Linked DNA regions of Pelodiscus sinensis. The protein of the gene in region 1 interacts with the protein of each later gene in a pairwise test. Links are inferred from orthologs where the notes say so. Each region holds a gene or a part of one and is shown in the gene's direction. Other genes may lie near its edges.

Region 1 (8,005 bases):
TGTCTCATCACAACCATGCCCACCAAGGCATTGCTTTCTTCTATAGCCATGGCCACACATCCACAGCCACGCCCTCTCTAGCCATGCCATGCCTCATAACCATACTATCTCTAGCCACGCCCATTCCTTCAAAACCCCACCTATCTAGCCATGCCCTGTCCCCCATCAGCACTCTCTTTAGTCACATCCTATCCCTTACAGCCACACCCTCTCTAGCCATGCCCCAGACCCTGCACCAGCCACATCCTCTTTAGTTAAGCCCCCATCCCTGACAACCCCTTCCCCTCACCTGCAGGCTGCCAGCACAGCCTTGTGGGCCAGCAAGGGGCGTCCCCCCACCAGCAGGGTGACATCGGTCAAGACGTGGCGGTGGCGTAGCTGGTCCAGGTTCAGCAGCACGTCGCCGGCGTGGCGTGTGAACTCCCGGACGCAGCCAGCTGGGCCCCTGGCAGTGCCCCTGCTCATGGCGCCTGCAGATACAGGGGTGGGGAGGGTTCCCGCAGGCCAGATGTGTATGTGGAGGGGAAGAGACAGGGCTACTCAGAGGGGAGGGTAAGACACACAGAGTAGAGGGGCAAGAGTCTTGCATTCCAGTTCCCCTCCCTGGCTCTAACCCACCAGCCCCCGCTCTCCTCCCACAACCAAGGAGAGAACCCAAGAGTCCTGGCTTTCAGCCCTTTCCCCCCGCTTTAACCCACCAGCCCCCACTCCGCTCCCAGAGGCAGGAGAAAACCCAGGAGACCAGGTAATGACAGCTCACCCTGACCAGCAGGGACCCTCGGACACTCCTGCCAGCAGGACTTTCAGGGTGTAGAGGGGTGGTAAAGTCCCAGCTGTTCCCCCGGCCTGGAGAACCAGCCTCCAATAACTCAGCAGGGCTGGAGGCTCTTATAATGTCCTGGAGGGACAGGGGGAAGTTCTCTCTCTAGTTCACATCCTTCCTGCCCCGGCCCAGCTGCCAGGGAAAAGGCGGGGGGTGGAGGGGGGTTATTAATAGACCTTTCAGGAAAAAGGTAGGACAAATCCCAGATCCACAAACAAATGCAGCTCCCCACTCTAACTGCTAGTTCTCATATCCATCCCAGAGCCAAGGCAAGAACTCAGGAATCCTGGCTTCCAGCCCCCTTGTTCTACCCCACCAGGCCTGACTCCCCTCCCAGAGCCCGAGAGAGAATGCAGGAGCCCTGGCTCCCAGCCTCTCCTACTCAAGTCACCCCATTGCTATGCTAAGACACCCTTGGTTCCCCAGACCCAGGAATTGGGAGGAAGGGACTGGGATTTGGGGTGGGGGGCAGCTTGAGTGTTAGGTCTCTGAGTGAATTTGCTCTGTGCCATTTCCTCGTATTGTCTTCGCCTGTGCTGAGGGGCCAGGGCCGGGGGGAAGGCACGGAGGTGGGAATATGATGGGAGGAGGAAATAGACTGTTTGTTTTGGACCCCGATCCCAAGTTTGACGAGATTAAGACACACTGGTCTGGGGGGGCAGGGGAGCAATGGGATAGCTCAAACACATTCAGCTCAGTGCCAAGTGAGGGGTCCCCATGTAACTGGCCGTCCTGCCCCAGAGGTGGCCAAATCTCAGCACTGGGAGAGGGGTCCCTGTGTAACCCGCCACCTCGCCCCAGAGGAGGCTGCATCTCAGCACCAGGCAAGGGGTCCCCGTGTAACCAGCTGTCCTGCCCCAGAAGTGGTCGCATCTCAGTGTCAGGCAAGGGATTCCCGTGTAACCAGCTGCCCCATCCCAAAGGTGGCCAGGTTGAGGGGTCCCTGTGTAACCAGCCACCTCACCCCCTAAGATGGCTGTACCTCAGCACTGGGCGGGGGGCCCTTGTATAACTGGCAACCCCACGCTAGAGATGGCTACATCTCAGTAGCAGAAAGGCGTCCCTGGATGTTTCTGGACACAAAGCCTTTTGTGGTACAGCAACAAATGCAGGAAAAGCTCAGTGGGGAGGGAGGGTGGGGTTCCCCAGGCAGTGACATCATTCACTGCGGGGGGAGGAAGACAGCCTAGCAGCGTCGTGGGTTGGGGCACATTTAAAAGGCAGCTTGAGCAGCCCAGCTTCATTTGAAGCCATTCCCTGTGCCCAGGGCTGCACCCGCTGCCACCTTCCTCTCCGCATTGGTCTGCTGAACCCACATTTGTATGTACCAGCAGCACCAGGGCTCCCAGCCCCCACCAGCAGCAGAATCACTGTAGTTCCAGGACTTGTTGGCACCAGCCTGTGGCCATTCTGTGGCGCTGTGGGACTGCGGAGCTCCCTGACTTGCAGTGTCAGCCCCTTGCTAAGCAGGTGGCATGCTGCAGAACTGGGCCCTGATAACGGGAACTGAGCACCAGGACTTCTGGGTTCTAGCCCTAGCTGTGATGTTGGGTCAGTCCCATTCTGCTGTTCCTCAGTTTCCTTTCTCACATCAGACTGTCAGCTTTTTGGGTCAGGGATTTTCTTTCAGTGTGTGTCTGGGCAGAGTCCTGCCTGAAGGAGCCATTCTCCCTAGATTAGCTATTCAGATTTTCCTGGTGGCTGCCTGTGTGGATGGTGTGGGGAAGTGGGTTTCCAAGTCCCTCTCTCTTATTGGTTTAACGAGGGGAGGGAAGAGGGAATTGGTTGTTACAGGAACCAACACAGAACTGGAGAGTCTGGCCAGTGGGCTGGAGAATGGAGACCCCGGTGACTGGTAGGGTTCCCAGGGGTCCGGTTTTGAACCGGACAGCCTGGTATTTGAGCTTTCTGTCCAGGAAACAAATTGAGAAAATACCGGACATATAAATGTCTGGTATTTTCTAATTAAGTAAGTTTTAATATTATCATGAGTATCAGTACGCAACTACGCAGTAGAGAGGAGGGAGGTGAGGCCAGGGCCAGGGCTAGGGCCGGGGCCGGGGCCGGGGCGGGATGGAATCCCTGGGGCCAGATTTGCTCTTGCGCCCCGCCAGGGCCATGCACAGGATGGGCAGCACCCCGGGATCTGCGTGCACCCGGGCCAGTCCCGCCGGCCAGTTCCTCCTCCACTCCCCTCCCAGACAGCCCCGCTCCCCACTGGCCGGTTCCCCACAGGCCAGCCCCACTCCCCCCTGGCCAGCCCCACTCCCCCAAACCCTCTCCCGGCCAGCCCCACTCCTCACCGGCCACTTCCCCCCCGGCCAGCCCCAATCCCCCCAACCCTCTCCTGGCCAGCCCTGCTCCCTTTGATCCCCTCCCAGCCAGCCCTGCTCCCCCCAATCTCTTCCTGGCCATCCCTGCTTCCCACCGGCCGTTCCCCCACCCTGATCTCCTCCGACCAGCCCTGCTCCCCCCAACCTCCTCCTGGCCAGCCCCGCTCCTTTCCCGGCCAGTCCTCCCCCCAATCTGAGATCAAGTGTGTCTGGTATTTTTTTTAAATCATCTGGTACCCCTAGTGACTGGTGACCCCAGCCCAGACAGTAGAGAGAGGACCCCAATGACCTATCCAGCTGGTTCCAGCCCATGAGGACAAAGGACAGATGAGGGGAAAGAGAGACAGAAAAGAGAGGGGCCAGGGCAAGCTTGTTTACCAGGACAGAAGACATCGACAGCCATAGGACGGTTTGGGGCAGCCACCCCAGGCCCTGTGCCACCCCAGGCCCTGTGCCTTTGGGGTCTCTGTAGTGACCGCCAAAAACATCCTATAGACAAGACCCATGGCATTACATGGTGCCTGGGGCCTGAACAGGGGTGGGGCAGGGCCTGCAGCGGGTGGGGGCCCTGGAAATTAGGACAGCCATGGGGTTTGGGGGCAGGGAATATCAGAGGCCCAGATAGGAAGTGCTCAGGGCGCAGGATAGGAGGGGGAACAGAGCACCCAGAGCCCACCTGGCTTCAGGGAAGACTCAAACATGCTGGCTGTGTCTAGACTGAAAAGTTTTTCTGCAAAATCAGATGATTTTGCGGAAAAACTTGCCAGCTGTCTACACTGGCTGCTTGAATTTCCGGAAAAGCACTGACAATCTAATGTAAAATCATCAATACTTTTCCGGAAATACTATGCTGCTCCCGTTCGGGCAAAAGTCTTTTTCCGAAAGACTTTTGCCCAAAAGGGCCAGTGTAGACAGCATAGTAGTGTTTTCCGAAAAAAAAGCCCCGATCACGAAAATGGCGATCGGGGCTTTTTTGCGGAAAACCGTGTCTAGATTGGCCACGGACGTTTTTCCGCAAAAAGTGCTTTTGCGGAAAAGCATCCTGCCAATCTAGACGTGCTTTTCCGAAAATGCTTTTAACGGAAAACTTTTCTGTTAAAAGCATTTTCGGAAATTCGTGCCAGTCTAGACGTAGCCGCTGTGCTGAGGGAGGCCAGGCCTACCAACCCTGACAGTTTCTATGCTGTGTTCAGACGCTAAATAAACCCTCCTGTTTTATAGCTGAGAGTCGTTTTGGTCTGGAGAACAGGGCTGCATTATTCCCTCTGGGAGTGCAGGCTCAAGGGTCCAGGACAAGTGCACTCCCTGAGGGGGCCCACAACAGAAACAGGCATGCTGGGGGCTCAGAGAGGTGCAGTCCAAGGAGTTAAGGGGCTTAACTCCCAAAAGAGAGTGGCCCCTGAGAAGAGGCTGTCGCAGGGAAGGGGGTTCCCCCAGAGGCTGCACAGGGTCAAGCATGGGCACAAATCTGCAACAGACAGGCTACCAATAATCTCCAGGACTGATAAGGTAGCAGGAGAGGCTCAAGGATTGATAATGCTGGAAGGGAGCCAGGGATGCTAAGCAGGGCCCAGGAAACCCTTCTGCCAGGGAAAAGGCGGGTATCCAGTTCCCCACCCAGAGCCAGGCCGCTCCCTCCCACAGCCAGGAAGAGAACCCAGGAGTCCTGGCTCCCAGCCCCTCCCCGACCCAACCTCCAGCTCTGCTCTAACCCACCACCCCTCACTCCCCTCCCAGAGTGGGCGGGGGACCCTGCCTCCATCCCAGCCCAGGGTGGGCCTAGGTTGCCCCTCCCATCCCATGCTCCCCCCACCGGAAGTGGCAGGAATTCCCAGCCCCACGTGACCCTATCTGGAATGTGGTGTCGTCATCGAGGGGGTCCATTAAAAAGTTTTTGGGGGCAGGTGGGGGAGGGGGAACTTTTCCGGGAAGTTCGGAGCTGGCTGGATCCGGAAGCTCTAGGACTCTTCCCTGCGAGCCAGGGACCCTCCCAGCGGGGCAAGACAGGAGGCGGTGGGACCCCCCGCCGGGATTCCCCCTCGGGGTTAGGTAAGTAGCGGGTCCCTCCTCCCCGCAGGTATTCCCCCACGTGACCAGAGACACCCCCTCCTCGCACCTCTCCTCCCCCCGGGCACCCACGGGGGGGGGGAACCGGAGCAGGCTGGAGTAAGACCCCCACACCCGTGGGAATCCTTCCCAAAACCAGGGCTATGAGGCCAGGTGCGAGTTACATCATCCCCCCCCCTCCCCCGCGGCTACCAGGGCTGCCCCACACCCCTCCCAGAGCTGGGGAGAGAACCCAGGAGTCCTGATTTCTCGCTCTTCCCCCTCTAACCTCTCTACACCACTCCCCCCACAGGTCCCCGAGATGTCCGGTCCCACCTGGCTCCCCCCCAAGCGGGCAAGTTCTTCGGGGTCTCCCGGCGTCTCAGTCTCTGCTCCGGCGCTTTGCAAACCCCAGAAGAAACATGCCACGGGCCCTGCATCCCCCCGGTTGGCCCCCCAGGAACAGAACGGGGAAGGCATGAGTGGGACGGGCTACCAGCCAGAGGGCCCCGGTAAATACCTCCCCCTCCCCCCATGCCCGATGGGTCTGATCCAGGTGAGGGCAGTGGATGCCTGCCTGGGTTGCAAGGGAGCAAATCAGAGCAGAGGGGCTGGAAGCTCACACTCCTGGACTCTCCCCCCAGCTCAGGGAGGAGAGTGGGGGCTGATGGTTAGAGCAGGGGGACTGAGAGCCAGCACAGAGCAGGAGGGGTCTGACTCCTTTTTCCCTCTCTAGGCAGCCTCTCCCCCCATCATCAGGATCCCAGGGGGCCGGCCCCCCTGCTTTCTAGCTTTGGCCCCCTGGCTGGCTCCCAGCATCATCACCCATCTGTCTCTGGGGCCAAGGATGAGCGAGGCCTGGGGGCACCGTGGGGGGCTGCCCTGTCTGCTGCACGAGGATACCACATCCAGGTAGGAGGTGGAACAGGAGGGAGGATGGGCCAGAACATGGAGTCCTTGTAAAGGCAGGACTCAGGGTGAATTTCCTTATGTGCATGGCATTGGAAGGGCATCCCCCCAGCCCGGAGCACCCCTCAAAACCTCTCCTAGCCCTCAGGGATTTGAGGTAGTAGAGGAAGTGGGAGTAAAAGCTCTCCCATAGGGTGACAGCACAGTATCCTTGAAGGCTTAATTTTCCCATAATTAATCTGCCTTTGTCATAGGGGGCACAGGAGAAAGTGCCTTCCTGATCCTGCCCATCTCATGCCCTAGAGCATAATGCCCGATTTTTGTTAACTTGTGGAACTGCCTGCCACTAGGTCAGCAGCTGCACTCTGTGATTCCATCTTGCAAGTCTGGACTGTACCATACAGCCCCCCTATCTCTACACTCTAATCTGCTGTCTGTTTCCTTAGGGATCTGCCCTAGATCCAGGACCCCACCGCCCTTCCAGCATTGACGCCCAAATAGATTCACTCACCCATATGCTGGCAGATATGGAGAGCACCGGCCCCCAGCGCCAGGGAGAGAGGCAGGTAAACAGCCAGGAGGCTTTGGGGCGGTGGTTTCATTGGCACAGACTTTCCCACCAATGAAATGTCAGCCCTATGATCACTTCTTTCCAAGTACCTTCTTGCCCCTCTCCTTGCCATCATATGGCAACACCAGTGCCCAGCATCTCCAGAACCACTGGATCCAGACTCCACATGATGCCATTGGAAAGCAAAGACCCAGAACTTCCAGGTGGTATCAGCTACCCATTTCTCCTTCCCCCAGTTCTCCAGGTATTAGCCACTGGAAATTACTTTCCAACCTACATCCTGCGGTAAGGGAAATCAGGATGGTACACAGGAGTCACATTGGGCCTCTTTTAGTGCCTGATTTCTCCTGAACCATTGGGCATAGAGATGTCATGTGCTGCTGGAAAGCTAAAAATCCAAGCTTGCTAATGGAGTATGCCACAAGCTTTCAGCTTCGACGGTTTGTGCAATATTGATGGTTTTATGGGACCATTGTTGATGTAGCCAAAGTTGAGCGTTAACTTGCAGTCTTGGTGGGTTCCTTGGGGAATGGTGGCTCTTTTGATGTGTTGAGGGTTGGGGTGGGGAGCATTTTGGGGTGAGGTGGATTTGTAGGCTAGGGAGTCATTAGATATCCCCCCAAGTACAGCAGGGATCCCCAAATCCTCACCTATCTGCTTCCAGATGTCTGTTTCATCTTCTCCTTTCGTCTCCAGAACTTCGACTCTGTCCCGTATCCATCAGCAACTGCCCCCCCACAACCTGGCGCCCACAAAATGCCCAGCCCTTACAAGCCAGGCTCCTTTGCCCCACCCTGTGCCTCCAAGAGCTCATCATATGGGCCGTTGCCCCAACCTGCCACCTCAATGGCTCCCTCCGGGCCAGCTCCCCCATATGGGGCTGGCTATCCATGGATGCTGCCTGGGCAGAAGCTGTATCCACAGCCTATGCCTGCATCCTACACCACGGCCTCCACATCAGCTGGGCCAGCCTTCAACATCCAGGTCAAAGTTGCCCAGCCAGTGTTAGGCTATGGTCAGCCGAGACGCCGGGCTGAGCAGGCTTATGCACCCCCATCACCCGGAGCTGGCCGTGGGGCCCAGTACGGCTCAGAGCCAGGTGGCAGGGGGGTGGAGGGCTGGTATCTGGAGCCTGGGGGCTATGGCAAGAGGCTGGGTGAGGGGGAATGCTATGAGGCAGGAGGGCTGGCGAAGCCAGGAGAGGCATCCGGGACTCAGTACCAAGCTGCTGTGGGGACTCCAGGAAAGGAAGAGATGGCGGTGTCAGCAAAGGTGCCCCCTGGTGACAGAGGAGGATACCAGCACCAGGTAATGTGAGAGTAA
Region 2 (7,114 bases), on another chromosome or scaffold:
TCACTGCCTCGCTTGCTGGGGAGCTGAGAGCGCCTGAACACAGTTGGACAGACTCCCAGACAGAAAGAGCTGGCCAGAATCTTGCTAGCTCCTCTCCTCTACCCATTCATTCCTGTCATGGGGGTAGCCATGTGCTTATATTTCAGGGTTAGGCCTCCTTGACTGGGGGGGTACTTAACTGACCCTGCCATGGGACTTTGACCCAGGTCAGGTGACTGTGTCCAAGCAACACATTTCCATCTTCCACAGCTTTCCGGTGAGTCACACTTTTATTACAGCCTGACTAGGAGGAGGGAGAGCAGGCGGCATGTAGTTCTTTGCCTTTACCACTTAGGCCCATCTGCTGCCCTGAGTTACCTCTCGCAGGACCCCAGCAGAGACTGTGAATAGCTTTTCTTTGGCTGCTGCTTTTGAACGTGAGCAATTAGAAATCTAGGCTGAGTCAGAAATCAGGCACCGTTTTCTAGCAGTGAGACTTGAGCTCTCTAGAGAACAGTCTTCCAATCTGAGGGAGGTTTTGGAAAGCCCTCCCCTCCTCCCCGGGGGTGGAGTTCTGAGTGAGGCAAGAAGATTTTTGTCTCTAGTAACCACTTAATTTTTTTAAATATATTACGTAACACAGAAATGGCAACCCACTGTCACTTGCAGGCACTATGGTCTTCTCTTCTATCCTGGACACGTCCCTCAACAAATAGAATATCAGCTACTGCGCACACTGGGTCATCTAAAACTTAGACTAGCCTAAACCTGGGTAAATGATTTCAGAGAAAACAACAAGGAGTCCAGTGGCACCTTTAAAGACTTACAAATGATAAGGGTGAGCTAATTGTGAGATATAGCTCACTTCTTCTCAGACGCTTGAAATGGAAGAACGGCTGGGATAGAGAGATGGGAGTGTAAAAGCAAGGTGGACGTGGCTCACTTCCAGCCATGATAAGGTGGTGAGAGTACCTAAAAGGGAAATTTCTTAAAGCTTATTCTATGGCAAGGCTCTCTTTACAAGGAGTCATTTCCCCTTCAGGTACTCACCTTCTCATCATGGCTGGAGATGAACCATATTCACCCTGAGTGACTCAGCACTGACGTTACACTCCCATCGCTATATCCCTCCCTTTCTTTCAAGCATCTGAGGAAGTGAGCTGTAGCTCACGATAACATTTCAGAGGGGTAGCCATGTAACACTAAAAATGAGCAGTCACAGCACTGCATATTGCTCCCAATAAACTTATTTTAAGGTACCACCAGCCTTCCTGTTTTTGCTGAAACAGACTTACACGGCCACCCCTCTGAAACAAGGCTTCAGAGAACAGACCAACCTTGAATTCATCTCATGAGAAAGTGCTTTGAGATCCACTGCTTAGAAGAGCTGGGCTTTGGGGAGTGTTGTGTTGGTTGGTTGGTTCTGTTTGTTTTTTTTCTAGGAAGGGGGATTTTCAAAGGGGTCTATGACAAGGTCTACTCCTTAAAGTATCTGCCCTCACCTGGAAAGTCTGGTTTTAACAATAGACTCGAGAACAGGACACCAGGGCTATGTCTACACTGGCGGGTTCTTGCGCAAGAGTTTCTACACAAGCACTCCTGCACAAGAACTTGTCCACATGGCCATGTGCTTTTGCGCAAGAGCATCCATGGCAGTGTGGACGCTCTCTTGTGCAAGAAAGCTCTGATGGTCATTTTAGCCATAGGGCTTTCTTGCACAAGAAACCTGTGATCTGTGTCCACACTGCCCTCTTGCGCAAGAGCTCCTGCACAAGAGGGCTTACACCTGTTAGAAAAGAGCATAGCTCCTGCGCAAGAAGCCCTCTCTTCCGACGCCGTACTGTAAATCTTCTTGTGCAAGAGCAGGCGGGCAGTGCAGACACTGTGGAAGAATGGCCATTCTTGCGCAAGAACCTGCCAGTGTAGACATTGCCATAGGGCTATATATAGACTGGCATGATTTTCCGCAAATGCTTTTAACGGAAAATTTCCATTAAAAGCATTTGCAGAAAAGAGCATCTAGATTGGCACGGACACTTTTCCGCAAAAACAATCTAGACGCGGTTTTGTGCAAGAAAGCCCCAATCGCCATTTTCGCAATTGGGGCTTTTTTGCGCAAAACAATACCGCGTTGTCTACACTGGCCCTCTTGCGCAAAAGCATTTGCACAAAAGGGCTTTTGCCCGAACGGGAGCAGCATATTATTTCCGCAGGAACACTGACAATCTTACATGAGATCGTCAGCGTTCTTGCAGAAATTCAAGCGGACAGTGTAGACAGCTGGCAAGTTTTTCCGCAAAAGCAGTTGCCTGTTTACACTGCTGCCTGTCTACACTGGCCATGTGTTATTGCGCAAGTAAACTGACGTTCTACTGTATGAAATCAGGGCTTCTTGAGCAAGAACTATGATGCTCCCACTCAGGAATAAGCCCTTTTGCGCAACTGTTTTTGCACAAGAGGCCAGTGTAGACAGGCAACATGAATTTCTTGCACAAGAAAGCCCTATGGTTAAAATGGTCATCAGAGCTTTCTTGCGCAAGAGAGCGTCTACACTGGCATGGATGCTCTTGTGCAAAAGCACATGCCAGTGTAGATGTTCTCTTGCACAATTACTTTAACGCAAGAACTCTTGCACTAAAGAGTTTTTGCGCAAGATCATGCCAGTGTAGACGTAGCCTCTGTGTTTTCAGATGCAGTTAATGTTTTATTTATTTTGTTCTTGGAAGTTGAAATGTGAGAGATCATACTAATTCACACGGGAAGCTTTGTGCCCCCAGACTTCCCATGTCTTTGGGGCCCTGTTTCCACTTCAAAGAACTGGTTCTCAAGTGTGTATTGCAGGGACTAACTCACAGTCGGGGTAAGTCTGTGAAGTGGAATTGTCTCTAGGTCTGGGCTCTCACTTCCCACTTCAAAGCAGGGGAAGGCCAAAAGGCAAGGGATTTTCTATCTACTGCGCTTGTTTCTCTGGGCCTCACTGTTTTCATGGCAGCTGCTCTCTGTGCTGATTCCTAGAGAATATATTTCCCATAGGCTGTGTCTACATTGGCATGATCTTGCGCAAAAGCAGCCGCTTTTGTGCCAAAACTTGCTGCCTATCTACACTGGCCTCGAGTTTTGGTGCAAGAACACTGACGTTCTAATGTATGAAATCAGGGCTTCTTGCACAAGAACTATGACGCTCCTGCTCAGGAAGAAGCCCTCTTGTGCAACTGTTCTTGCGCAAGAGGCCAGTGTAGCCAGGCAACATGAATTTCTTGCACAAGAAAGCCCTATGGTTAAAATGGCCATCAGAGCTTTCTTGTGCAAGAGAGCGTCTACACTGGCAAGGATGCTCTTGCGCAAAAGCACATCTCTTGCGCAAAGGCACATGCCAATGTAGACGCTCTCTTCTGGAAGAGTTCTTGCACAAGATCATGCCAATGTAGACGTAGCCATAGAGTTATTATAGATGACTGGGAGGTAAGGCCCTCGTAACCTTAACAAAGAGATGCAGATACAGAGTGACGCGGCCACCTGTCTGAGAAGGAGACTTTTATCAGCCAAAACAATGAGGCCCCGGGCACCTTAAAGACTAACAAATTTACTTGAGCATAAGCTCCTTCCCAGCCCACAAAAGCTTATGCCTAAATGAATGGGTTATTTTATCAGCCAGGCCATCAAGAAACAAACCTCTTGTTTCAAGCTTCTTTTCCACAGTCAATATTAATTCAGGATAATGCAACCACCTAATCCAGCACTTCTGAGCCTCAGCACTGCTTAATAACCCTCTTATCACAGAAAGAATGAAAAGCCAGAGGGTTTCACACTTGGCGACCTTGATTCCCAGCTGGGTGCCTCCTGGCACCATCCTGAGGAGGCAGCAATTGGTAAGAAACTGAACCCTGAGGAAACAGGAAAACTCAACTACCCATGAAAATTGTACGGTTAAATATAAGGTGAGTAGTGACCCCCAAAGAGCTGGGACTCTGTATCAGCAACCAGGAAATGCAGATGATCTCCCAGCAAACTAACCAGCACAGCTGGCCTGTAGTGGGCTTTGTGATTGGATACCTGGCCTGATTGGTAGGAAGAGTCCACAGATCAGCTTACAGTTACACCCAGTGACTGGAGCAGTGGGTGCTCTGCAAAGTCTTTGTTCCTGGCCACTAGCTGCTTGTTCCAGGTAACCTGGCTCTGATTCCTGGTGGTGGGCTCCTATTCCTGCCTACTGATTCCTGCTCTAATGGGAGGGAGGCTTTTTTTCATTTCTGCCTGGCACAGTTCTCCTTCCCTTCCTCTCCCCAAACCCTGTTACATAGTTATGGCTTGTCATGTTCAGCAAATGTTAATTAAATCCTTCAATGAAAGGAACAGTGGCTAGTAACTGTCTCAGATAAAGGTAATTGCCCATGTAAGCCCATATTGCTGGGGATAACTTCCCATGCTCCTCGGACACCCTGGCTCCCTCTCTTTATGTGTCACACTTGGAAACCTGAGTTTTCTCCCCCCTCCCTTGTACCATTGACTCTGTGCAGTAGAGGCCTGGATTAAATGCCCCCTGAATAAATAGGACTCCCTCCGTTGGTTCTAATGGGTCTAAGATCAGGCCCTAATTCTGTTTCCCCTACCCAAATGGCCAAAATCCGTCTCATTGAGACCCAGTGTAAATCTGAAGCAACTCCCAATCTATAGGGGCAGAGCCTGGGCCTGTGTCTGTATTTGACTTTGGGATCAGTGCTTTTGTGATGTACAATTTATTGAAGCTTGTTATTTTAAGCTTAATACTCCTTGAGCAGTTGGATGATGGGCCAAATCCTCCTTTCAGTTCACACGTTTCCATCTTCTGTGAACATCAATGAAAGAAGGGGCTCTCGTGCTTTTCATTTGTGGGCACCTAAAAAATGCCAAATGTGTGTGCGGACTCCCTTGGGACTCTTAGGCAGAGTCTGCGCACCCCTAGGGTGCAGGGACTCCAGGATGAAAATCACTGGACTTGGAGTCACTTACACCGAACGAATAACAGAATCCTGTAGAAACCAGAGCTAGATGAGAAGGCCCTTAACAGGGAGCATAGGCTGGGTTTTTTCAAAGAAGCCTTAGTTGCCCACTTTCATTAAATTAGGCACCTAAATCCATTAGGCTCAGTAGAAATTCCATTTTCTTGCCAGGAGCCACAGCATGAATGTTCCACTGGGGGCTTATGGCCTCCAATGGGGCCACCAGCAGGTTTCAGGGGGGCTGCCAAGAATGACTGGCATCAGACTTTGTAGGGCCCAGGGCAGAAAGCCAGAGCCCTGCTGCATAGGATTGCAGCCAGGGGCTCCAAGCCCCACCACTAGGGGTTGAAGAGGAACCCTAAGTAATAGCTTTGTGGTGCCACCCTGTAGCGTGGAACCCCGGGCACTTGTCCACCTTGCTACTCCCTCACTGCACCGCTGGCTTTTCTATGCAGTGAAACAGTTCTTGTGGCACAGCTGGGCAACATGTCAGGGGAGCGTGGGGTGCTCAGAAGGTAAAAGATTAAGAACCCCATATCTAGTAAACTTCTCCCCTCCCCCAGCAGCTGTTTATCTAACCTAGTCTTAAAACCCCCCAGACGCAGAGATTCCCCAATAACCCAGCTGTTTGTTCCGGAGCTTAATTACTCTGACAGTGAGTTTTTCCTAATGTCCAACCTAAACCTCCCTGGCTGCAATTCAAATCCATTCTTCTTTGCTTCTTGTCTTGTCTTCAGTTGTTAAGGAGAACAATCTATCACCCTCTTTTTTAAACAAAAAAACAACAAACTTTTAGGTACTTGAAGCCTGTTATCATGTCCCTCTTCAGTCTTCTAGTCTCCAGACTAAACAAACCCAGCTGTTTCAATCTGTCCTTGCAGATCCTGTTTTCTAGACCTTTAATCATGTGTGTTGCTCTCCTCTGGATTTTTCTCCAATTTGACCACATCTTTCCCAAAAAGTGATTTCCAGAACTGGACACATTACTTCAGTGCAGAGTAGAGTGGAAGAATTACCTCTTTTGTTTGTCTGCTAATACATCCTGGAATGAGGTTTGCTATTTTTGCAACTCTGTTACATAGTTGACTCTTGTTTAATATATGATCAGCATTAACCCTCCCATCCTTTTCTGCTGTACTGCTTCGTAGGCAGAACTTCCCACTTTGTGCGTGTGCCATCGATTATTCCTTCCTGAACACAACATTTTGCATTTGTACTTAGTTATTTTTATCCTATTTTATTTCAGACAGTTTCTTCAGTTTCTCAAGGTGACTTGAATCCTATGCTGCAAAGTGTTTGTACCCTCCCCTAGCTTGCTATGTCTGCAGCTTTAACACTGTCCTCGCTATGCCACTATTCAAATAATTTATGAAGATACTGAATGGAACTAGACCTCTCGTGGCACCCCAATCGTATGCCCTTCCAGTTGGACTGTGTATCTTTGATAACTACTGAGTGAAGTTTCCCAGTCAGCTGTGCACCACTACCAGAACGTCTGTATTTCTTCTCTGATCAGCATGGGTGGAGGGAATCAGAGGCAGGAGAAGGCAATGCCTTCCCAAACTCTAAGGTGTGGCCCCGCCCACACTCTGGCCACCCCCACCCCACATCATGACTATCTCTACCAATATATGCAAAATATGCAGCCATAAAGAGCACCACAAAATTTTGGGCACCAAATTCCATGGTCCCCTAGGTGCTGCATATGGGGTAGCGCTAGCTCCAGCGCCCCCTCCTACTGGCTGTGCCCAGCAGGGCCATCCCTGATGGGATGCGGGGCCTAGAACAACCCCCCCCCCCCATGCTCCACCCCTTCTCTGCCTCCATTCCACCTGCACTCCACCCTTTCCCCTAAGCCACCTCCTCAGGGGATAAAGACCAAGAAATGTGGGGAGTCCTCCTCCCCCATCTTCCTCCAAAGTAACTCCTATGGGAATGTCATGCAAAAAACATCTAACAATGAGGCATTAATGCAACATTATGGCCCAGAAGGTTTTCTTCTTGCAATAAAGGTAAACTTAGAAAATCACAGCTGAGACTGAGGGGGAGGGCAAATGGGGCATGGCAATTTACAAGGGCCAGGACAGGGGAGCCGGGCCCCTGGGCAAGGAGGGTTGGGGAGCCCAGGGGCCCAGCTCCCCTGTCCTCCTGGCTCT
Region 3 (7,727 bases), on another chromosome or scaffold:
GTTCAGCTCACAGCCCCGGATGGAGTTGGACAGATCTGAAACAGCCCCAGAAAGGAAAGAGCAATTCGCAACAAGCAGCGCTGGCTGATTCCCCACCACCCACCTCTAGCACCTTCCCTGGCAGGGGAAACCGAGGCACCGGGCTCTGACACGCGCCACTTGCCCAGGGTCACACATGGGCCTGAGCCCCCGGCAAGTGGCAGGACGTGCCTTCGCTGCTTGTGCAGAGAGAGCGTGCGTGTGTGTGAGACGCAGGACCAAAGGTTTCCCCTGGGTTGGGCCCCCACTTGCCGGCTGTCCCCACTGGAAATCTGTCGGGCTGCCAGCGAGTGGAGAGGGGTCAATGGGTCTCCTTAGGCTCGCGGCAGCCCCTCTACAGCCAGGGCACTGGCTGGCGGTCAGTATCACTTCCTGCCCCAGGCACCCCCGTCTGCCCCGGATCCTGCCCCCCCAAGGGCGGCAGCAGCAGGGCGACAGGCAGGAGAGGGGGGCAGGCCTGTGGGTTCGGTGCTGGCGGAAGACCCAGCGCGGATACAGTGTGTAAAACTGACCCACGCGATTCCACGTGTGAAGCCGCGGTCGGCGGATTGGCAGGGCTCTAGGGGCCGGCCGCCCACACGCCCCTCGCGGCAGCAGCCACGGGCTCTCCCCAGCGCTCTCTGGGCCTCACCGGAGATGATGGAGGCGGTTGAGATCTGGGAGCCGGCTCCCTGGCCATCCCCCCACCAACAGCCTCTCCCTGGGGCATCGTTTATATAGTCCGGGTCGGTCTCCCAGTCGTCCGCTTCATCCTCGCAGGAAGGGAGGAGCCCGGCTCGGTCTATTCTGCCACAGGGCCCTCCTTTCCCGCAGGCGTGGGGGGCTGTGCCCCACGCTGGCCCTGCCTGGGCCATGGCCGGGGCTCCGGCAGGCCGTGGGGAAAGGCGGAGCCTGGAGCCTGTGCTGGGGGATGTCTCTGGACCCAGCTCCAGGGGCTGTGAAGTCTCCCCATTGTGATGTCAGCAGAACGCCCCTGCGAGACTCAGCCTGCAAAGCATGCTGGGGGCTGAACGCCAGCTGCGCTGCCTAACGGAGCCGGGAGCCTTCGGCACCGTGGAGAGTTGGCTCCCGAAGGCTTCGCGGCGTCAGGCTGGAAGGGGAGACCCCCTGGGGAAGCCGCGGGGGCTGCTGTCCTGAGCCAGCGAAGCGCCGACAGGCGGGCCCGAACCGGGCACCTCCGGAGCTCAGGGCAGGAGGCGCTACAGCTTGGGCTAAAAGCCAGCTGGCGCTCAGCTTAGGCGGTAGGGCAGGGGTGGGCAAGACAGCTTCCAGGGGCCGGACTCACCCGGCCTGCAGCTGCCTTGCCACTCCCCCCCCCCCCGGCCAATCGAGACCTGGGGATGGGGGAGCATGAGAAGTGTCCTGGCTCCGCCCTTTCTGTCTGAGGCCCCGCCCCTTCCAGGGCGGCCGACTGTAACAATTTGCGAAGTGGCTGCTCTTGAAAAATGCTTGCCCATCCCGGCTGCAGAGCCAGCTCATTCTCTCTCTGGAAATGGCCTGCGTGCCACCCCCGGGGACGGTGCCCCACCCCCATCAGGAGCCAGGGCTGCAGGACGGGGTGGGGGGAGGCTGCCTCGCCTTGCCGTCAGGGCCCACCCAAGCCCCAGCACAGATCGAGGGGTGCATGACCCGGGAGGGGAGGCTGCCTTGCTGTCAAGGCCAACTCCAAAGCCCCAGGACAGGAGGGTGCCAGGCTGCAGGCATCAGCGAGGTCGCCCAGAAGGGGGCGCTTTCCCTGGTGAATTTGCACGGATCCTAGTGCCTTCTTCACAGCTACAATCGGGAGCTGCCTCGGAAGCCCTGGCACGGCTCAGGGGACTCTCGATGTTCTTCTGGCCTGCTGTGCGGCGAGGCCCAGGCCTGCTCCCTGGCACCCCGTGTCCTAGGGAGGTGAGCTGCTAACCCTGGCTGCAGTGAGACACCGGTGCGGCCTCGGGGCGCTGGGCCGGCCAGCGTGCTTGGGAACGGCTTTCACAAAGCCCGGCTCGGGGACACTGGCAGGAAATGAACGGGTGAACTCGGGCAGCCGCATCAGCTCCCCTGGCCCTTCCCGGCCTGCCTCAGCCTTCCCCGCCTGGCCCGCCGCTGCCTCTCCCGGCTTTTCCTTGCTGCCCTTTCCCTTCTTGTCTCCTTTCCCCTCTGCTTTTGGGGTTCCCCCCCCCATGCCTCTTCTCCTTTTTCTGTCCAGCTCTAGAGCTGTTCCTGCTTGTCCTTCTCTGCTGCGTGTCTGTGGCTGGCTACCTGCGCTTTGGGCCACCGGTCCCCATGGCCTGCCAGCCTGCTGGAGAGCTACTCCCTGGCTATGTCTAGACTGGCATGATTTTCCGGAAATGCTTTTAACGGAAAAGTTTTCCGTTAAAAGCATTTTTGGAACAGAGCGTCTAGATTGGCACGGACGCTTTTCCGCAAAAGCACTTTTTGCGGAAAAGTGTCCGTGGCCAATCTAGACGCGCTTTTCTGCAAAAAAGCCCCGATCGCCATTTTCGCAATCGGGGCTTTTTTGCAGAAAACAAATCTGAGCTGTCTACACTGGCCCTTTTGCGCAAAAGTTTTGTGCAAAAGGGACTTTTGCCCGAATGGGAGCAGCATAGTATTCCCGCAAGAAGCACTGATTTCTTACCGTAGGAAGTCAGTGATTTTGCGGAAATTCAAGCGGCCAGTGTAGACAGCTGGCAAGTTTTTCCGGAAAAGCGGCTGATTTTCCAGAAAAACTGGCCAGTCTAGAGACAGCCCCTGTGTGAGCCCAGGAATGCTGCAGGGAGCAGCGTTATGTAGCCCCAGTGGGGTGGGGGGGTAGAATATGGGTCAGGAGCCAGCAGTCATACCCTGCTGTCGGGGCCCCCGCCTTTGGAAATCTCTTGGCTAGAGCATACAGCGCTCAGGGAGACTGGCTAGGCTAGGGCAGCTGTCCGAAGCAAAGGATAGAGACACAGCAGCCGCCAGCCCTAAGGCCGGCGAGCGTAGCTCCTGCGCGGCAGGGAAACCCTTCACCCTCCAGGCAGCCGCAGAGGGAAGCCACCAAGGGACAGGGTGGAAATGTCATGGCACTGAGGGGCTGGGATGGGGGAGGAGGTCTGGTGACTTGGGCTAGGATCCAGGAGGTTCCCTTCAAATGCAGCTGCCTGCGAAAGGAATTTGAGGGGGCAACCGAGTGAGTCTGTGGCAGAAAAAGCAGCGAATGGTCTGGTAGCACTTTGACTAAGGAAACATGTCGATAAAACAAAAGGAGAAACTGGGCAGCACTTTAGAGACTAACAAGATGGTTTATTAGGGGATGAGCGTTCGTGGGCCAGCCCCACTTCCTCAGATCAAATTCTGGACGAGAATTGGCAGGACCACGTATACCAAAGGATACAATGGAAAAGTGAACCCGTTGTTAAACTGACAGATCAGATTTAGTCCGGAAGGTGGGGTGAGAGGGCGGGAGGGACCAGCTAGCTGAGTCACTGGCTCATCGGGGGGGGGGGGGGGGAGAGAGTGGGGAGCGATCTTCCTAATGGCTACGGCAATTAGCATCTTCTACCAGCCCATCTGCTGGGCCGATCGCTCAGCTGCCTGTGGGGTGGGACTAGCCCCCGCCCCCGCCAGCCCCCTTCTCCTCTGGGGCTCCTATTGCGCTAGGGCTTGGTCCCAAGTGTCAGGAAGGGGGGAAGGGACCTTCCAGGGAGGCAGGCGGCATTGGCACTGCGGGCACAGCCTGAGCTGGGGGGGAGACCGGCCTGGGCAGCCTGGAGCAGCCCGCTGGACAGCAGGGCCCAAGGGGGAGGGGCCCAGCTGGGCGGAGCTAGGGACCGGCCAGGCCCTCGCGGGGGGAGGGGCCCAGCTGGGCGGAGCTAGGGACCGGCCAGGCCCTCGCGGGGGGGAGGGGCCCAGCTGGGCGGAGCTAGGGACCGGTCAGGCCCTCGCAGGGGGAGGGGCCCAGCTGGGCGGAGCTAGGGACCGGCCACGCCCTCGCGGGGGGGAGGGGCCCAGCTGGGCGGAGCTAGGGACCGGTCAGGCCCTCGCGGGGGGGAGGGGCCCAGCTGGGCGGAGCTAGGGACCGGCCAGGCCCTCGCGGGGGGAGGGGCCCAGCTGGACGGAGTTAGGGACCGGCCAGGCCCTCGCGGGGGGGAGGGGCCCAGCTGGGCGGAGTTAGGGACCGGCCACGCCCTCGCGGGGGGAGGGGCCCAGATGGGCGGAGCTAGGGACCGGCCAGGCCCTCGCGGGGGGAGGGGCCCAGCTGGGCGGAGTTAGGGACCGGCCACGCCCTCGCGGGGGAGGGGCCCAGCTGGGCGGAGCTAGGGACCGGCCAGGCCCTCGCGGGGGGAGGGGCCCAGCTGGGCGGAGCTAGGGACCGGCCAGGCCCTCGCGGGGGGAGGGGCCCAGCTGGGCGGAGCTAGGGACCGGCCAGGCCCTCGCGGGGGGAGGGGCCCAGCTGGGCGGAGCTAAGGACCGGCCACGCCCTCGCGGGGGGAGGGGCCCAGACGGGCGGAGCTAGGGACCGGCCACGCCCTCGCGGGGGGAGGGGCCCAGCTGGGCGGAGCTAGGGACCGGCCACGCCCTCGCGGGGGGAGGGGCCCTGGCCAGGATCCCGGGGCATGCGGGTCCCATTGCCTCTCAGGCCCCGCCCCCTCGCCGCGCGCCCGTGGCCCCGCCCACCTCCGCTCGCTCGCGCCGGCGGCCGCGCCGAGCCGGCCACTTCCGGCGGGAGCGCCGCCCCTAGCGGAAGTGTGGCTGGTTGCTATGGCGAGGCGCCGTGGGGACCCGCCCTTGCGGGACAGAGCCGGAGAGCGGCCCGGCTCCTGCCGACGGCGGGTGAGCGCGGCCGGCTGCGGAGGGGTCACGTGATACGGGGGCTGTGGGGGGACTGGGCCCTGGTGGGGGGGTGCGGAGAGGGTTCTGTGTGGGGGGGACTGAGGGCCCTGGGGGGGCAATGGGGGGGTGGGATTGGGGGTTCTGTGATGGGGAGGTTGTGGGGGGGACTGAGGGCCCTGGTGGGGGCAGTGGGGGATTGGGTGGGATTGGGGGTTCTGTGATGGGGGGCTGTGGGGGGGACTGAGGGCCCTGGTGGGCGCAGTGGGGGATTGGGTGGAATTGGGGGTTCTGTGATGGGGGGCTGTGGGGGGGAGTGAGGGCCCTGGTGGGCGCAGTGGGGGATTGGGTGGGATTGGGGGTTCTGTGATGGGGGGCTGTGGGGGGGAGTGAGGGCCCTGGTGGGCGCAGTGGGGGATTGGGTGGGATTGGGGGTTCTGTGATGGGGGGCTGTGGGGGGGAGTGAGGGCCCTGGTGGGGGCAGTGGGGGGGCGGGATTGGGGGTTCTGTGATGGGGGGCTGTGGGGGGGACTGAGGGCCCTGGTGGGCGCAGTGGGGGATTGGGTGGAATTGGGGGTTCTGTGATGGGGGGCTGTGGGGGGGAGTGAGGGCCCTGGTGGGCGCAGTGGGGGATTGGGTGGGATTGGGGGTTCTGTGATGGGGGGCTGTGGGGGGGACTGAGGGCCCTGGTGGGGGCAGTGGGGGGGCGGGATTGGGGGTTCTGTGATGGGGGGCTGTGGGGGGGACTGAGGGCCCTGGTGGGCGCAGTGGGGGATTGGGTGGAATTGGGGGTTCTGTGATGGGGGGGCTGTGGGGGGGACTGAGGGCTCTGGGGGAGGCAGTGGGGGGGTGGGATTAGAGGTTCTGTGATGGGGGGCTGGGACAACCTATAGACTGGGCAGGTGTCCCGTGTGGCGGGGGCGGGGACACTGTTACCGATGTTTTTAAGTGACGTTGGGAACCCTGGGGGCTCTGTTGTTTCCCTCGTTTCGCTGTCTGCTGACACTTCGGGGGGCAGTGGGGGAGCCCAGTTGGTCTTGAGCCAAGTGAGCGCAGAAGAGAATTCATAGGGGCTGTGAAGGTGGCAGACTATTTCCCTTCCCCGCTTTCCCATATCAGGATTTGAGAGGGGTGTTGCCCAGCTGGTGAAACTTCAGCTGGAGCAGAGACCTGTTGTGCAAATGAGAATGTGGGTAGGGGGTGATGGCTATTCACGTGTTAGTTCACGTTTATGTTCCTGTGGCCCCAGTCTGGATCAGAGCCCCATTGTGCGGGGTGCCGTGTAAACATGTAAATGAGGTCCTTGCCTACAGTCTAATCAAATGTCCTACAGAAAGGGATGGACATGCAACATGTAAGAGAGACACGGAACTTGGTCAGCCATTGATTTTCTCAGCTTTGTTCTTTTGTCCAGGTACTTCACTCCGCTTGCGTTAGCAAGTGTGGTCGCAGTGTCTAATTTCACTCTGCCCTTCCTGTTCTCTTGGAGCTCCAACACTTGTGTGTCATTTCAGTGCCTTTTGCGGTATTTTTCTTGCACCTTCTAACCAGCACCCTTTCCTTTCCTGATCAGAATGAAAGGCCTGCAGCCATGTTTTTCTAGTCCAGTCCAGTTAATTGCTATGATTCAGAGGGGACTCTAATGGCCGGTTCCCTCCCTGCCCCACTGCTGATGCTTCCGTGGAATGGACTGGATTAGAGATGTAACAGTGTAGTCGATTAACTATAAGCAAAAGCGTATCGGTTAACGCTATAAACTACACACGTTTCCCAGCCCCTCTTGCCAGTAAATTTTTTAGCAGGCTGGCCAGCAGGCCAGCTCAGTCCTGCTTCTCGTTGGATCCGGGACCTACCCCCGCTGTGGCTCTGCATTTAAAGTGTATTAGGAGCCAGGTGGGCAGGCAGTCCAGCTTGTGCTGTGTTCAGGAGCTCAGCCCCACCCCTGGACAGGGGCTGCTGTCATCCCGGGCTGCTGCCTCTGTGACAGGCAGCCGGTCTGCGAGGGGAGCTGGTTTTTCAACTGCCTCCCCTCATAGACCAGCTCCTGCCTGACACCCTGCACTGCTGCCTCTATTATATTAAATATTATAGAGGCAGCAGCGCCGAGTGGCAGGAGGCTCCTCAGGTGTGGGGCTGGAGTGCACTGCCTGCTGGCCCCACCCTCGGGGTCCAGTGTTTTTGTGATGGTACTGCCAGGTACTCAGTACCGGCACTTCCAGACGCAGTACCGGCATTTCCAGATGTAGTACCCGCACCTCCAGTCAGAGCTCAACAACTTTTCCCCTGGAGTACTGGCACTTTTTTTTTTTTTTTTAACAAAGCACTGCAAGGGTCTATAGAATAATCGAGTAACTGATAAGAATTCATGAGGTTACTTGACTATTCAATTAACGAGTATTTAACATCCCTAGATTGGATCAGATCACTGGTCAGAATCTTGTCTCTTAAAGTGGCCAACACCAGATGCTAAAGAGGAAGGTTTAAGAAATCCCAGAGCAAGAAGATACGGGTTAATCTGCTCCTTGTGAAGGTCTTATCCAAATCACTAATAGTTGGAGATTAAGAATCATAGAACCATAGAATACTAGGACTGGAAGGGACCTTGAGAGGTCATTGAGTCCAGTCCCCTGCCCTCACGGCAGGACCCAGTACTGTCTAGACCAGTGGTCCCCAACGCGGTGCCTGCGGGCACCATGGCGCCCGCCGGGGCATTTGTAGGCGCCCGCCGACAACCCGGGCTGGCCCCGCCCCCGGTGCACTGGAGGCGCCGGCCCCAGGCACGCGACACTCACCGGCGCCTGGTGCGCGGCGCTCGGGCGGCCCCAGCCCCGGGGCACATGCGGGCGTGCGGCGCCGGTGCCGGCCCCAGGCACGCAGCTCGGGCGGCGGCGCCAGCC
Region 4 (7,739 bases), on another chromosome or scaffold:
AAAATTTAATCCCCAGCATGGCCCCTTTAAGAAATGCTTTGAGACTTTTTGGCCCTAACAGGCTGTTAGCGGCCGTACCATCTTGTCTCCCTGCTCCAGGCCAGACAGCTCCTCTGTGGAACTAGGTACGCACCCAGTATTATCACCTTCTGGCTGGGAAAAAAATCAGAATTAGGTGTCCGGACAGGACGTGAAAATACCAGACTGTCCGGGTCAATACCAGACACCTGGCAACTCTAGGGGCATGGTGAGGCCAAGCAGGGGTGGGAGTTTATGGAAGAAGTAAGTGGGTGGACAGCAGGGTGAAGCAGAGGCAGGGTGAATTGAGGCCTATGGCAGTAGGATTGTTCTGGGCCCTGCACCAGGGGCACTGTGGAGTGGGGGGAGGTGCTGTCCCAGGCCACATGCCTCCCTTGGAATGGCCCTGGCAGGGCTGACCCCTGGGGCATCCCATTTGATACCAGTTTTCAACTACACATCAAGCTTTTGATTGCTGCCCAATGAACCAAATGATCCATACTTCTTTAACTTGCTGGCAAGAATACTTTGCAAGATCTATCAAAAGCTTTGCTAAAGTCAAGGTATATCACATCCACCGCCATCCCCATATCCAAGGAGCCAGTTCTCATTATAGAAGGTTCATCAGACATGATATGGCCTTAGTAGAACCATGTAGACTGTTCCTGATCACCTTTTTCTCCTCCAAGTGTTTCAAAATGGAGATCTCCCAGCTCATGGGTTGAGTAAAAGCCAATCCCACCCAATAGCTCCTACTAGTGAGTCTCCAGCCACTCTTAGATGTGTAATGCTTCTGCCAGATAGCACCAGCAGCAGCAAGGGCTGGATTCAATATCTAGGGGTTCCTCTCCATCCACCCAACACAGAACTGGCTCAAGTCCCCACCCAGAAACCTGGGAAACTCACACACACCTCTGGGCGCCTCTGGGAGGCAATACTCCGCCTCTCACAAGCACAGAGTCTGAGCATAGAAAAGAAACCTTTAGCAATAGGGGCAGGAAGTAAAGTGGCATTAATTTGGGAAAACACCACAGAGTTCATAACCAAAACCACGAGTAAATGTCCCAGCTCACGTAGGTTTAGCAATGTCCTTTTCCTCTCAAGCACTGAAGTCCAGCAAAGTGTCCCCTTCACATGCACAACCCTTCTTTGCACCCCACTCACAGTCGCTACCCTTGGTCAAGGCAGACCAGAGCTCAGAGGTGAGCTGCAGATTTAACCTCTCATCCTGAGTGGGGGTAGAAGGCATCTCACCCACTCCACTGGTCACTCACCACCTGCTCATCTCATCTTCCTATGGCTTGTGGTGGATTTGGTTCTGGGACAAACCTTGTGATTTCAGCTTTTAGCCTAAAGCACAGACAAGCCACAAGAGATTCCAGCATCCTCTGGAGAATGTTTATATACAAAAGAGACTCCTTATGGAACCTTTCTTTAACTCCATAATTGAAACAGTGGGGAGAAACAGATTGAACCAGTCTTACAGTTCCTGCCTGGCAATCATACAACCTGCTAACTCACCTCCCTGCCCAGCTTAATATATAGGGGTCTGGAAGATGAGCCTCTGCCCATCCAAGTGTATTTACACTGACAGGGTCTCTCCTTTGAACTGAGTTAAACAGTCTGACTTTTCTGCATTCCCGATAACTGCAAACATTGTTGATCATATCTCACAATTCCTGCATTTAGTGTTAACATGGTTAGTGATCCCACAACAGCCAAATTGGTTACAATGGGCAAAACACCTTCTAACAGTTGACTATCTAGAAGGCCTAAGCAAACTGAGTGAACTGTATTTACATAACCATACCCAGGTTTTCCTTCCCATTTGAGTGTGCTGTAATGGAAACATGATTCAGACCCTACTTACAGATGGGAGGGAGTGGAATAAGTAGATGGGAGGGAGTGGTTAAGTAGGATGGCCAATCATGAATATAGTGCTGGGATAAGTTAAATTTAGTTCAGAGTGAGACTCAGACATATGTGGGAACTGGTACCCCCTGAGCAATGCCAGCACACCATACACAAATGTGTAAGGACAGCTCTGATTGGATAAGATAGTACTCAGAAAAGAATGGCTCCTATTAGAAAGACCTCTATAGAGCACAAATTGCCCTCCTCTATGATTTTTCTAGGAACTAAGGTGAGGCTGACTGGTCTGTAGTTCCCTGGATTCCCCTTCTTCCCTTTTTTAAAGATGGGCACTACATTTGCCTTTTTGAGTCATTTGGGACCTACCTCAGTCACCTCAAGTTTTCAAAGATAATGGCCAATGGCTCTGCAGTCATATCAGGCAATTCTCACAGCACCCTCAGATGCATTAGATCCAACCCATGGATTTGTGCATGTCCAGCTTTTCTATATAGTCCTTAACCTGTTCTTTCACAACTCACCTTCTCCCCATATTGTGCTACCCAATGTAGTAGCAGTCTGGGAGCTGACCTGATCTGTGAAGTCTGAAGGGGGAAAAAAAAAGCAGGTAGTAAGAACTTCAGCTTTTTCCACCTTATGTGTTCCTAGGTTGCCTTCCCTGTTGAATAAGGGTCCTACAGCTTTCCTGACCTTCTTCTTGGTACTAATATATCTGTAGAAACCTTCCTTGTTATCCTTCACATCCCTTGCTATCTGCAACTCCAGTTGTGCTTTGGCCTTCCTGATTATACTTCTGCATGCTGTATAACACTCCAAGCAGATGTCAGAGTGATTGAAATCCCCCATGTGAATCTGCACCTGTGATCTGGAAACTTCTGAAGAAAGCCTCGTCTACCTCATCCTCCAGGTATTTTTTCACACAATACACAATCAACCTGTGGTTCACTTTGCCAGAGGTTGTTGTAAAGGCCAAGATTACAAGGTTCAAAGAGCTAGATAATTTCATGGAGATTAGGTCCATCAATGGCTATTAGCCAGGATGGGCAGGGATGGTGTACCTAGCCTCTGGGAATGGGTGACAGGGGAGGGATCACTTGAAGATTGCCTCTTCTGCTCATTCCCTCTGGGGCACCTGGCATTGGCTACCATCAGAAAACAGACTACTGGTCTAGATGGACTTTTGGTCTGGTCCAGTGTGGCCATTCTTATGTTGTCATAATCAATATGCAGAGGGCGGCTGTGTCTCCATCGTCTTCTGTATCTCCATGATCTTCTCCAAAGTGAGAAAATGCTGCTTCACTACTTTAGAGTTTTATGTAAGGACATTTACTTTGTACACTTTGACATGTGACACTAACTATAATGTCCTTCAACTGTGAACATTTAAATTCATAACAAATAAAATATTATATCCTATAATTTTGCACAACTGCTAAAATGTAATTTGATAAATATTGTAAAAAATGCTTAAAAATAAACATCAATATCCATTGAAATGATTAAACAATAAAAATGGATTTCACCAAGACTAAATAAAAAGTGAGTTTTACTATCACTGAGCTGACTATTAGTGTGGTCTCCTGCATTAAAGAAATACTACTGGGGGTTGAACTCTGAGCACCAATGGGAGTTTTGCTATTGATCTTAATGATCAATAATCTTAATAATCTTAATGATCATTCATAATCTCTTATACAATATATTTTATCATTAATTCTTGCCAAGCTAATGTGAGGGTGTTGGCCAACAAAGCTACTGGGAACTCAATACATTTCAGGGCCTTGGCAAGTAGTAAGTTAACACTGCATCCAGACTTCTCAATGATGGTTTAAAACTTTAGTTAAAGCCAGCAGCACTCTGTCATGTGGATGGCATTGCTTGTTTCCTGAAGACCCAACATTTGTGGCTGTTTGGATATATGGACTATTGTTATTTAATAGCCATGAAAGACCTGGTTACTTCAGCACTTATTATATATTAGAGATGGGTTCATGTAGAGGCACATCTGTATTTAGGACAGAATGTAATGACTGGGACATATACACATTTCCAATACATTAGCATATGAACATGAAATTCAGACCCAAGAAAATATTTGTCTCCCTATGAAGACATCTTTAAAATATGTCCAATGCTGGGGGGAAAGGAGGGAAGAGTCATTTTCTGTCCTACTCTTTTCATACTGGTCTCAGCAATTAAGCCACATTTCAACCTGACACCATTTTGTTTTGAAAAGGCTTCTTATTCATAATAGATTATTTTATGGAGGGAAGGGGGAAGGCGGTCCCAGCAAGTCTTCACAGTAGGAAAATTAATTGGTATTAATTTCTAACCAGCCCAAATCAGAGTCAAGAGGCAAGGAGGCTCCCTAAATTCTAATGTCATTTTTAATAAAATCTACCCCTTTTGGATGAAGGGTTTTGTGGAGTGTTTGGTGGAAAAGAAAGCAACTGAGCCACTAGTAACTTATGTTGGAGATGACGTTTTATTGTGCATCGGTGTGTGTGTTTAATATAGGTACGTGTTGTGTGCATATCAGCATCGCTCTCCTGCTAGCTAATCCCTCTAGTTTAAAACTCCCTCTTTCCGATACACAGCTCGTCTAGAAGACGATCGGCTCCAAATCAGCGGGCATGTGATGCTGGGTTTATTTGAGGAAGGGATTTATTTCCCCTTTTCTTTTTCTTTCCAGAAGGAAGCCCTGGGAGCACCTCTAACGCCCTGCACGTTTCTGAGAGCGGCTGGCTCTTTGGAGAGGAGCCCTCCGTTGCTCTTTAGCAATTTGGCTTTGCTCCTCCTTTCGCCTCCGAGTAAAGCTAGTCTGAGATTGCAGGGTTTCCGAAGTGGTGGCAGAAGCCTGGACAAGTTGGGGGCGGGGGCGGGCAGGAAAGTAAAGTGGCAGAAGACTTGCTTGCGGGCGCCCTGCGCTGCAGCCCCTCTGCGGGGCGTTTGTCTCTGCAGCCGGGAGGGAGTGGGGGGGTGGCTTGCCCCTGGGGCAGCGCGGGCCAGAGGCGGCGAGCGCCGCGCTTCGGGTACGGCTGTGCCTGCCCAAAGTTCCCGTTTTCTCGGGGCTGCACGTCTTATGATCCATTGTGTCATCGCGCTCCGCTGGAGCGAGGGGAAGGCAAACCCCTCGCAGCCAAATTTGGCACTGCCCGGGGGAGACATGTCAGCGCCGGCGAGCTGCGGCGCCTGCTGAGCGACCCGCGGCGGGGGGGGCGGCGAAGATGCGGACTCGCCCTTCGGCGCGGCGCTGAGCCCGTGACCATGCCGACTGGCCGCGCAGCATGGCCAATGGGACGGGGGCGCTCATGCTGAAGTGCGTGGTGGTGGGAGACGGGGCCGTGGGCAAGACGTGCTTGCTGATGAGCTACGCCAACGACGCCTTCCCCGAGGAGTATGTGCCCACCGTGTTTGACCACTATGCAGGTAAGCGGGCGGGCGGGCTCAGAAGTGCTGAGTAAGAGGCTCCTCCCCTGCCCCCGGAGAACTTTAGAGCAACTTTGCCATTTTCCCACCCGGAGCCTCTCTCCTCCTGCCGTGACCTTCTTCACAAAGTCTGGGTGTTGTACCCCGGCCGCTCCGGCCTCCCGCTCCCAGCCGGGAAGGAGCCTCCCGAGGACAGGACATAGGAAGGATCCTGCCCAGTGTGTGAAACTGCCTGGGGGAGGGGTAGTGCCGCCTATAGAAATGTCTGGACTAGATGGGTTTTTTTTTAATGCAAGTACCCGGAATGGTAGAAACGGGACTTCCAGTGGTGGCGGGTGTCTGGCGAGGGCGACATAACTATGAAACCCATTCTTTCCAAATCGCCAAGTGCACTGCAGATGTGTTCTTGCGCTAGCTTTTTAGACCTGCTTTTTTTTAATCTGCTTGTGTAATTGAAAACATTCCTCTGAGCCTGTATGCCCTTTCGCTACAGTATTAGCCATGCCTGTATTTTTTTTTCCTTTTACAGTCACTGTTACAGTTGGGGGAAAGCAGTATCTGTTGGGGCTCTATGACACAGCAGGACAGGTGAGTACTTTCAGACTCAGCCAGAACTCGAATCCAGCACCTGCAGGTTTTTATTATTCCAGCCGAAAGCATTTTCCTGTGTAATGGAGGGGTGTTTGCATCTGTTGGGCTGTCTCACTTTAGTACATACGCAACCATGAAAATAACCAAGCCTGGAAGACAATTCAGGCTGGACTCATTGGGGGGTGAGGGAGGGAAATCCGCCCCTGATTCAGTCTAACTCAGGATATTTGTTTATGTCGAACTGCCTCACTATGCTTTAGGGGGTAGCCGAGTTAAGCTGTTACAGAAAAAACCAACAAATGGTCTGGTATCACTTTATAGACTAACAAAACATGTAGATGGTATCATGAGCTTTCGTGGGCACAGCCCACTTTAACTCCGGTCATCTGAAGAAGTGGGCTATGCCCACGAAAGCTCATGATACCATCTATATGTTTTGTTAGTCTATAAAGTGCTACCAGACTATTTGTTGTTGTTTTTGCCTCACTATGGTGATTTGTAGTAATTGCCCACTTTCATGTGCTGCCTTCAGAAAAACATGATGTTGGGTTTTTAAAAAATTATTCAAACTCTTATTCCACTCAGCTGTGATAGACTTTTTTAGTTTTAAATGGCCAGTTTCTCTTGAGTTCTCTGTCTGGTCCCTTATTGGTGACTGAAGTACATGACTGAAGGGTTCTGATTGGTGGCTAATGGCATCATCTTATATTATGGGAAGGCATTTTGTCTGGTTAGGTTTATTACAGCATCACATCACTTGAATTCCTGAAATCATCATTCTGAGTCCAAACAATTGCAATGACTTCTGTAGCCTGTCTAGATTTGAAACCCTCTTTTGATTTGTATTTTGCTGTGTAAGACTTGTTTCTTTTTTGTTTCAAGCGCACCACATTAGACAGAATCCCATATTAATGGCAGTCTCTCTTCATCATGCTTAATTAAGAAAATTTTAAATAACTAGAAGGCGTTTCCAGCTTATAAAAAGGACATTGTAAAATGAGGCAGTGTCACTTCTTGCCACCTCATTTTATAATGATTTAATTGGTGCCTTAACAAAACAAACTGAATTATTTGTGCTTGAAAGCTTCCAACTACAAATCCTATTGTGAAAGGTGCTTTATCTACCTGTGGTTTTAAAAAACTGTTTATGGCAAACACAGTCTGCCTGAAGTGCAAGGGATCTCCAATATTATTGTATTGCTTTTGGATGACTATGCAAATAAAATGCTACCATTCCTTCAAAAGTTTGTGAATGGGTTTGCTGGTGTCTGGTACAAAAAAGGTTGGGAACCACTGCTTTGGAGGATAGGGTCATAATTCAAACTGGTCTGGACAAACTAGAGAAATGGTCTGTGGTAAATAGGATGAAGTTTAAAAAGGACAAATGCAGAGTACTCCACTTAAGATGGAGCTATCAGTTCCACATACAAAATAGGAAATGACTGTCTAGGAAGGAGTACTGCAGAAAGGGATCTAGGGGTCAGAGTGGACCACAAGCTAAATATGAGTCAACAATGTGACAGTGTTGCAAAAAAAACCAACCCATGATGCTGGAATGCACTGACAGGAGTGTTGTGAGCAAGACACAAGTAGTAATTCTTCTGGTTCTGGGCACATTTCAAAAAAGATGTGGAGAAATTGGAGAGAGTCCAGAGAAGAGCAACAAAAATGATTAAAGGCCTAGAAAACATGACCTATGAGGGAAGACTGGAAGAATTAGGTTGTTTAGTTTGGAAAAGGGAAGATTGAGAGGGGACATAACAGCTTTCAAATACCTAAAAGGGTGTTACAAGGAGGAGGAAGAATAATTGTTCTCCTTGACCTCTGAT

Evidence for each region.
Region 2: the proteins of thyroid receptor-interacting protein 6-like (region 1) and LPAR2 interact in a two-hybrid assay, tested with the Homo sapiens proteins (2 studies listed by BioGRID). The link is inferred for Pelodiscus sinensis from reciprocal best matches to the Homo sapiens genes TRIP6 and LPAR2.
Region 3: the proteins of thyroid receptor-interacting protein 6-like (region 1) and PPP1R16A interact in binary tests that used the Homo sapiens proteins (3 or more experiments, as listed by UniProt). The two-hybrid records come from large-scale screens. The link is inferred for Pelodiscus sinensis from reciprocal best matches to the Homo sapiens genes TRIP6 and PPP1R16A.
Region 4: the proteins of thyroid receptor-interacting protein 6-like (region 1) and RHOQ interact in a two-hybrid assay, tested with the Homo sapiens proteins (2 studies listed by BioGRID and IntAct). The two-hybrid records come from large-scale screens. The link is inferred for Pelodiscus sinensis from reciprocal best matches to the Homo sapiens genes TRIP6 and RHOQ.

Annotation. Positions count from the first base shown.
Region 1 is NC_134734.1:9,899,344-9,907,348, forward strand, and holds the start of thyroid receptor-interacting protein 6-like, read left to right. Parts: upstream 1-4,991; 5' UTR 4,992-5,012; coding exon 5,013-5,205; intron 5,206-5,515; exon of another isoform or gene 5,516-5,524; coding exon of another isoform or gene 5,525-5,714; intron 5,715-5,938; coding exon 5,939-6,114; intron 6,115-6,557; coding exon 6,558-6,677; intron 6,678-6,683; exon of another isoform or gene 6,684-6,749; coding exon of another isoform or gene 6,750-6,926; intron 6,927-7,378; coding exon 7,379-7,990; intron 7,991-8,005. Other genes in the region: BCL6B (B-cell CLL/lymphoma 6 member B protein), read right to left, coding at 290-465. UniProt on the Homo sapiens protein: Relays signals from the cell surface to the nucleus to weaken adherens junction and promote actin cytoskeleton reorganization and cell invasiveness. Involved in lysophosphatidic acid-induced cell adhesion and migration.
Region 2 is NC_134729.1:14,363,192-14,370,305, forward strand, and holds the start of LPAR2 (lysophosphatidic acid receptor 2), read left to right. Parts: upstream 1-4,104; 5' UTR 4,105-4,144; intron 4,145-7,114. UniProt on the Homo sapiens protein: Receptor for lysophosphatidic acid (LPA), a mediator of diverse cellular activities. Seems to be coupled to the G(i)/G(o), G(12)/G(13), and G(q) families of heteromeric G proteins. Plays a key role in phospholipase C-beta (PLC-beta) signaling pathway.
Region 3 is NC_134712.1:1,124,668-1,132,394, forward strand, and holds the start of PPP1R16A (protein phosphatase 1 regulatory subunit 16A), read left to right. Parts: upstream 1-4,716; 5' UTR 4,717-4,833; intron 4,834-7,727. Other genes in the region: uncharacterized protein LOC142826897, read right to left, coding at 1-35, 671-893. UniProt on the Homo sapiens protein: Inhibits protein phosphatase 1 activity toward phosphorylase, myosin light chain and myosin substrates.
Region 4 is NC_134713.1:164,186,031-164,193,769, reverse strand, and holds the start of RHOQ (rho-related GTP-binding protein RhoQ), read left to right. Parts: upstream 1-4,724; 5' UTR 4,725-5,177; coding exon 5,178-5,319; intron 5,320-5,848; coding exon 5,849-5,907; intron 5,908-7,739. UniProt on the Homo sapiens protein: Plasma membrane-associated small GTPase which cycles between an active GTP-bound and an inactive GDP-bound state. In active state binds to a variety of effector proteins to regulate cellular responses. Involved in epithelial cell polarization processes.